Linked DNA regions of Nothobranchius furzeri. The protein of the gene in region 1 purifies or fractionates together with the protein of each later gene. This does not show direct contact. Links are inferred from orthologs where the notes say so. Each region holds a gene or a part of one and is shown in the gene's direction. Other genes may lie near its edges. The genes, in order: cdk15 and fkbp5.

Region 1 (3,921 bases):
CTGCTTCCTGCATGCTTCTGTCTTATGAACCCAGCAGTAAACCCATGGTCACATGATCCCATTAGCATCAAGATGGCTAAAGGCAACCTACACCTGTCCAAAACCCACACGGACAGCTGCTTAAAGCGTTCGATGTTGGGCTGCACATGGGGACAGCTGAAGGAAAGATGCAGGCCAGCAGTTTGGCATCACGATGCTGAGGTGAGCAGAAACCGCCACACGCTAGCCCGACTCCCCAACTATGTGTCTGAGGTAGTCGTGCAGCAGACAAGCCCATTCAACTCCGATGTTTCCTCAGTGCAGAGGACATCGCTATTCAATCTGATGAGACACTGGTTAGTTCTACTGTTACGTTATTGTACAACCCCTGAAAGCGCTTCACAACACAATCAGTCATTCACACATTCACACGCTGGTGAGAATAAGCTGCAATGTAGCCACAGCTGCCCTGGGGCGCGCTGACAGAGGCCTGCCGAGCTACACAAACGACGTTTTAACTCTTCTCATGGATTCTGAAGATAATCTAGAGACATCCGTGCTGTGGGTGATGCTGATGAGTCACTGCAGAGCCAGAATAATGCTCTGTACGTTGCAGCATGTGGGTTATGCAACTTAAGACGAAATGAGGTGAGTGACAATCAATGGCGCCCCCAAGGGGTGGCCAGAAATTAGCTTCCCCCCTCCCCCCCCAGCAAAAAACGAGTGTTAATAAATCATATGAATGTTCACTCAAACCATAAACTGATCTTATTTATGCAAGACATGATTGTAAAACAAAATAAAAATAATGTAATTAATGAGTAAAGAAATAATCAGAATAAAAAAGTGCTTATATTCCTGCTGCTCACCGTTTAAAAAAGTTTTTATCTCCATATTTTTGTGAACACAGCAACAGGTGAATTAAACTAAAAAAAAATACATTTCAAAATAAAATTCAAATGTTTGGATACTTCCTTTTTAAAAAATAATAAAGGAGCATCGCCACAGGCTAAACTCTCCCAGAGTTACCACAAGGACCAATTGGGTGGTGCCACTCCAAAAATTTTGTTGGCCCTGTTTGGCCACCCCTATGAAAATTCTGGAGGCGCCCCTGGTGAGTGAACAAGGTCCACTCACCTGATGGATCATCTCCAGACTCAGGTGGGTGCAGGACCACCAGACTGAGAAATGTGTTTGTTCCTGCAGTGACTTTTCAAGGACCTGATGTAGCGTGATAGTTTATTTATTTTTGTTGCCTTTGGAGAGAAGAACTTCAAATTACGCTTAAAAAGTAAAGCGGTGGCCACAAGTCCAGCTGCAGTTGATCCACTGTAATGAGAGTCAGACGCCAGCAGAGGGCAGAAAACTTCTCCAGACTCAGGACTGGGCAGCTCCTGCTGTTGAATGGAGACTGTTGTTCACTGTTGGGGTGGGGTGGGGGGTGGGGGGGGGGGGGGTCATGGGATCTTGTCTGCATGTCATGAGACAGAAGGGAAGCATCTGGACCACAGAAGAAGAAAACATGGAGAACTTGTTTCGCAGCATAAGGGAAGCTGGACACCAGCTAAGCGGGTGCTGCTGTGGTGAGGAAGAGGAGGACGAGGAGGTGAAAGAGAAGAGGAAGGAGGATGAGGGTAATGATGATGAGGATGATGAGAATCTACAAAGCAGCAGAAGCTGGATGTCCCTCCCTTCTCCTGAGGTACCGGTTAAACTTGATGCGTGTTTGGCTCCAGGACGCGATGGTGGCAAAGCTTCCTCCGGTTCTGTTCTGCTGACCCAGCCATTGTCCATGTCCTACAGGTGGATCAGAACCAGACCAGCTCTTCCAGCTCTGGGACTCCGCCTCACTGGTTCCACACTCTGCAGGCCCAGCGGTCCAGAGTGCAGCGAGGACGCAGCAACAGTGACCCTCTGAGAGCAACAGCTGTCCAGAATCTCTTCACCTGGGTCAGACGATGGGTCACATGATGTGTGAAGTGTTGAGCATGTGACCTAAAACTCCTGATCTGACGTGTAACGTGCTGTGTTCAGAAAGCGGGTCTGGAGTTTGGAGCTGCCCAGTCCTACCTGAGTCTGGAGAAGTTGGGAGAGGGAGTGTTTGCTTCTGTATATAAAGGCATCAGCAGGTCAGAGATGCCCCTCCGGGCCACCGTAGACGGGCTATCAGCATTTCCTTACATGTGTGTTTTTTATTACTGAGCCTTAAATGTAAAGTTTCTTCTGTGGAGGATAAATGGGCAGCTGGTGGCTCTGAAGGTGATTCGAATGAAGAAAGAAGAGGGAGTTCCTTTTACCGCCATCAGAGAAGGTGACCAATCAGATTGCTCTCTCGCCCTCCTGAGTGCATCAACCTCTGCCCTGACACCTGTGTGTGTGTGTGTGTGTGTGTGTGTGTGTGTGTGTGTGTGTGTGTGTGTGTGTGTGTGTGTGTGTTCACAGCCTCTCTGCTCAAACGCCTAAAACATGCCAACATTGTCCTGCTGCATGACATCATCCACACCAGAGAGACACTCACCCTGGTCTTCGAGTACGTGGTAAGCACAACCGCTGATAACTGTGTTAATTTATATACTTGTTGACCTGAAGGGGGCGCTACTGATAAATCCATCTGTCATTTTTATGGAATCAGAAATCACCAGTTCTGCAGAAGAGGGGAAGTATGCAGAGCATGCATAGATTAAAAACCAGGATGTGGTTTCAGGGTTGTTCCCAACTGGGTCAAAGGCAAGTGGCGATGTAACAACAGAAAAGAAAAGTCATGCAGAGAGACTGGATATCTGTTGTGGAGTCCCACAGGGGTCAGGCTTGGGTACCACGCTATTTCTATTGCACATCAATGGCTTGTTTCAGGTTTCCAGCACGCTAAGACGTGTTTTAATGGCAGATGATCATTTTTGGGATATTTAGATCTGGTTACAGCACAAATTAAAATTAATAATAAATTTGAGTAAAGGAAATCATGCGTTTTGGAAACTGTAAAATAAAGTGACGCTAACACTAAATAATGGGGAATGAAAACACGAACATCCAAGGATCCTTCTTGAAACTACAAACGTTAAAGTTTAGAGACTTGATAGAATTTAGGATAACATTATTTATGTAGAAATTCAAAATAAAAAACACTTAAAGAGCAAGTCACCCCCTACCAGATTCTTACTCCACTCCCACTTCCTGTTTGAAAAATGCAACAAATGTTGTTGCCTAGCAGACCGAGAGGCGGAGCCACTAACAAATACACACACACAGGCTCACAACGACATTGTGACATCATATGGTACCAGCTAACGTTCTAGGGTAGCTCTTAGCCAATAGCGATGGCAGATTTAAATTCAAATGCAGTGCAGAGTTTTTACCTGACGACGGCACAACACTGACAGTTTTAGGCAGAAAATTAAAATTTTAACTAAAATGCACTAAAGTGCAAAACTATTGACTACACGTGTCTGCAGCACGATTAGACACACACTTATATAGTTTATCAGCAAATAAAGTTGATTTGGGGGTGACTTGCTCTTTAAAGACTTAAAATTAAAAGACTGTAAACAAAAATAATCGTCGTCGTCTTCCTCCGCTTATCCGGGTCCGGGTCGCGGGGGCAGCATCCCAACTAGGGAGCTGCAGACCGTCCTCTCCCCGGCCACCTCCACCAGCTCCTCCGGCAGGACCCCAAGGCGTTCCCGGACCAGATTGGAGATGTAACCTCTCCAACGTGTCCTGGGTCGACCCGGGGGCCTTCTGCCGGCAGGACATGCCCGAAACACCTCCCCGGGGAGGCGTCCAGGAGGCATCCTGACCAGATGCCCAAACCACCTCAACTGGCTCCTTTCGATCCGGAGGAGCAGCGGTTCTACTCCGAGTCCCTCCCGAATGTCCGAGCTCCTCACCCTATCTCTAAGGCTGAGCCCGGCCACCCTACGGAGGAAACTCATTTCGGCCGCT
Region 2 (3,921 bases), on another chromosome or scaffold:
TTGCTTGTAATGTTGCAATTTTTAAAATAGCTTCAAAGGGGTTGTAAATTTTCCTTGAAATGATATGGCTTGCAAATATGAGATCATAAAATATTAAACCTTATGAAAGAGAGTCTCATATAACACCACCTGAACAAAGTGTCATTATGATGTTATGTAACTACAAGAGAAATAAAAATCCATGGAACAATGTGCTCACTGTAAAGTGAAATTACTCTGCTGCGGATGCAAGAGTCGATGCATTCATATTTACTGAAATTTAAAAGTAAATTCAGAAACGTACGTTTAGAAATCTTGCATATTACCTGATGGGTTCATCTTTTTACCTTTCATGCTGAGTTTAGGGCAGTTTAATCCATAATTATTTTCTAGAAGCTTTTTAATTATATTTCATTGCATAGTCAATTGGATGGTTACTTTTCAATAATGAACTCAATAGCTTCAAAATCCAATTACGTATTAACTAGAAGTATAAAGTTAGCATGTAACATAACTTATTCTTAGTGTAAGGTGACAACAAATGGAAAAGATAGCCTGGTGAATGTTAAATTACTTTAAATAGTATTTAATTAGTTCCTGGGTGGAGAATATAAAATTACATTGAACCTCAGCATCCTACTTCTTGGCAGGGATAATCTGTCACTCCCTAATACAAAATGCTAATCTGACATAATAACTTAATCAGGCAGAAAAAGTTAAGTTACGACTCAAGTTATTGGTTTAACAAAACAGTTCCTGTTGGCATTCTCTTTTAAAGTCCTAATTTAGGAAATGAAAGCACAAATAAACGTATTGCTGCACCGGTTAGGCTTTTATTCTCAATAGCTAGCTAAAAACACCTGTGCAAGTTTAGCCTTAAGCTAATATAGCTGGTGCAACTCCCCCTTTCGTGTTCAAATAACAGCCATAACAGAGCATTAATTAATAATAACAGCACATCATCGCACAAAACAGCTACTAAAGTCGCGCTTTTGTCGGTAACTACAGCGTTAAATAAAAAAAACTAAGATAAAGGCGGAGGAGTTTTTACCGTCTCCCTCAGAAACAGTAATCCGTCAAACCGCGCGACTCATCGGACTCAGAGGTGTACGTCAGTGTCGGTGCTTTGACACGTCTCCGTGTTGCTACGGGGTTCGGTTCGGCTGGGACTGACAGAGAGACGGAGACAGCTCCTCTTGTTGTTGATATGTGTTGTCCGCTGAGCGGAGAGAGGAGGAACACGCTGCAGCGGAACAGGCTGTTCCCGCCCGGCCTGGCACGGAACGGGTTACAGGTCAGGGTGTCTGTTGGAACACTGTGTTCTCATCAGCAGCGGCACAGCTACAGTACAGCCGGAACATTGTGTTACTTTGTGGCTGCTTTCCAAGACCTGCCCTTAATTTTACACTAAACACCCTCCCCACAACTCATCTCGTTTCTGCTTACCCCCGCCACCCCCCTCCACCCCCCTCGCCTCCTCCTGCCTCTGTCATTTTTGTGCGAGTTTGTCTCTGTAGTATCTCCTCAGTGTCATTTTGGAGTCAGAGCTGCGTGTTGCGACCGCACCGGTACTTTCATCACTGAGGAGAGGAAGAAGGAGCAGAGGGGGGTGGGATAAAGACAAAAAGAGTCCATAGCTAAGAACCACATGGGCAGAACACTTAGTACCCTGCTGGATCTGAGATAGGAAGACGCATTTTCTTAGAAATAAACATCCACCGAGTGAATTTGCAGCTGTTCGTCACCGGCAACCATCTGGGGGAAGAAAATAAAAAAGCGGACCTCAAAACATCGTAAGTCTCTTTTAATACACAGATCTTCATCTTTCTGAAATACTTTATTTAATTTAGGAGTTAATTAAAATAATCTTTTTTTTTAAATTTCGTTCACGCCTGGCTGAGTTAAACGGAACTTGTGCACAGTCTCACTAAAGAATAAGAATATACAAGATTATTTAAAGGAGGGGGGAAAGTGAGCCAGGATGGATAGGTTTTGGCTGAATGTGGTCCTTAGCCTTCTTGTGAAGGTCCCAGAAGAGGTTGGTGGATGTTCTCATCCAGGATCCCTCTAGGCTTAGGTGTCCCTTTCATAAATTACAGGGGTTTTGTGCAGGCTACTTCTGAGAATTATAACTCAACTCGACTCTGAGCTGATTCATTACAACCTGGTTACATATTACTGAGCAGCTTGTGAAGAACTCTGAATGTTTAGGTTGACACCAGGTGCTGAGGGGATAAGCACAAAAATGGTCCTCCAAAATTAGTTCCAGCCAGGACTATTCTATAAGTATCTAATAAAAATGCACACATTTTCATCAGCTCAGGTGAAAAAAAATAAAGTTTATTTGTCAGTTAACAACTTATAAAAGTTAAGGTCAGGCATAATTTTTGCCTGGAAAACAAATAGATTTTAATGATTACAGCATTTTTATGATAGACATCTATAAATATCAAGTTATTATCATAATCTTAGCACCATAACAGGTTAATAAAAGAAGTTTAGTTTTTTTGGGGTGTCTGTGTGTGCAGGATTATCAGTGAGTCTCCACTTGTTAGGTATGAATCAGCAACAGAGTACGGATGTGAAACAGAATGTACAGATACACTGTGTGCGTCTCTGGATGTGGTCTTTGGCTCATTGTGTTCTGTTCCTGCATTCCTCCGCAGGGCATCTTAGTTATTGGTACATGAAGCCTACGTACCATCTTATCAGTGCTGGAACAATTTACACCCTGTTTCTGCTTTTGCAAAGTGTCAATATTTTATTTACGAGGAAGAGATGACAGAAATACACCAAAAAGAAGGGCGAGATCACAATGATGGGATGAGTAACTTTTTACTTGTCTGCAATCATCAGTGATGATAAGCAGTCACAACGCTGGTTTATCTCAGTTTAAATCATGTGGGGGGTAAAAAATGTGAGTGTATGCAAAATTTACCAAATTAGAACAGCTTATTTGCCTTTTTTTTGTTAAATAAAATTAAAGCTGGTGCATCAGGGGGGTTTAAGGTTGATGAACGCTGTTGGGCTTTGCCGGTGGCGAACTGTGAATAGAAGGAACATTGTGTTCAGACACACACATGGACACACGAGTTACATGAGTTACATCTGAAATGACATCCGTGGAATTTAAAAGACACGGGGAAGGGTGGAGCTGCTGATGGACGGACGTTTTGGGACATTTTTCAGGATAAAAACTGTATTTTTCCATACAAGTACAAAAGTGAGGATGCGGGGTAAAGTGATGCCAGTCAAGACGGCTCTTTGTGGTTTCAACCTGTGTGATGAGGAGCATGGAAAGTGCCTCAGCATCATAAGAAATCATTTAGAAACGATTCAAATTCTATTTCCTGATCAGTATGCAAAACAAGGATTCTGCTGCTCAGCCTGTCGTTTAATAATTAGAGGTTTATTTACATGGTCTTCTTTTTATGCAGAGAAGCATCTTTTTGCTCATTCGTGATATCTGCAAAGAATGACGGACCCTTCTGTGTAATTAACGGAAAATAAATCTACTAATAAGAGCTGCTTTTATTAAAGCGAGTTCACAGTAAAGTCTGTGTTCGCGAGGCTGCTTTCTGATCAGTTTTGCCTTTACTGGAGATATTTCTTATCTTAGTTTATAAAGCTTCTTATAAACATAAAAACCAAAGCCTTTAACATGTTTGTTGGTCCAAGAGTCAAGTGTTTAAGTCATTAGAGTCACATCTTGTCTCTCTTTGTCCGCCAGATGAAAGAACACAAAGTTCTTTTCCTTTGTTTAGATTTCCAGACTTCTCTCTTTAGAGCAAAAACAATAAAAATGATTATTAAACTGAGAAAAATTTCTTTCTACCAGATGATGTGCAAGTATACACCTATGTTGAGTTTTAAAACGTTTTTTAAGAGAGAATTATTTGGTGATTGTGGTACTTGAGAAAAACAAACAAACAAAAAAAAAAA

What was found.
Region 2: the proteins of cdk15 (region 1) and fkbp5 purify together in Homo sapiens (affinity purification with mass spectrometry; 3 studies listed by BioGRID and IntAct, counting the BioPlex papers as one, with this or other methods). This does not show direct contact. The link is inferred for Nothobranchius furzeri from reciprocal best matches to the Homo sapiens genes CDK15 and FKBP5.

Annotation. Positions count from the first base shown.
Region 1 is NC_091746.1:29,187,306-29,191,226, reverse strand, and holds the start of cdk15 (cyclin-dependent kinase 15), read left to right. Parts: upstream 1-1,432; 5' UTR 1,433-1,438; coding exon 1,439-1,681; intron 1,682-1,782; coding exon 1,783-1,929; intron 1,930-2,013; coding exon 2,014-2,108; intron 2,109-2,210; coding exon 2,211-2,290; intron 2,291-2,421; coding exon 2,422-2,516; intron 2,517-3,921. UniProt on the Homo sapiens protein: Serine/threonine-protein kinase that acts like an antiapoptotic protein that counters TRAIL/TNFSF10-induced apoptosis by inducing phosphorylation of BIRC5 at 'Thr-34'.
Region 2 is NC_091743.1:66,803,168-66,807,088, reverse strand, and holds the start of fkbp5 (peptidyl-prolyl cis-trans isomerase FKBP5), read left to right. Parts: upstream 1-1,540; 5' UTR 1,541-1,772; intron 1,773-3,921. UniProt on the Homo sapiens protein: Immunophilin protein with PPIase and co-chaperone activities. Component of unligated steroid receptors heterocomplexes through interaction with heat-shock protein 90 (HSP90).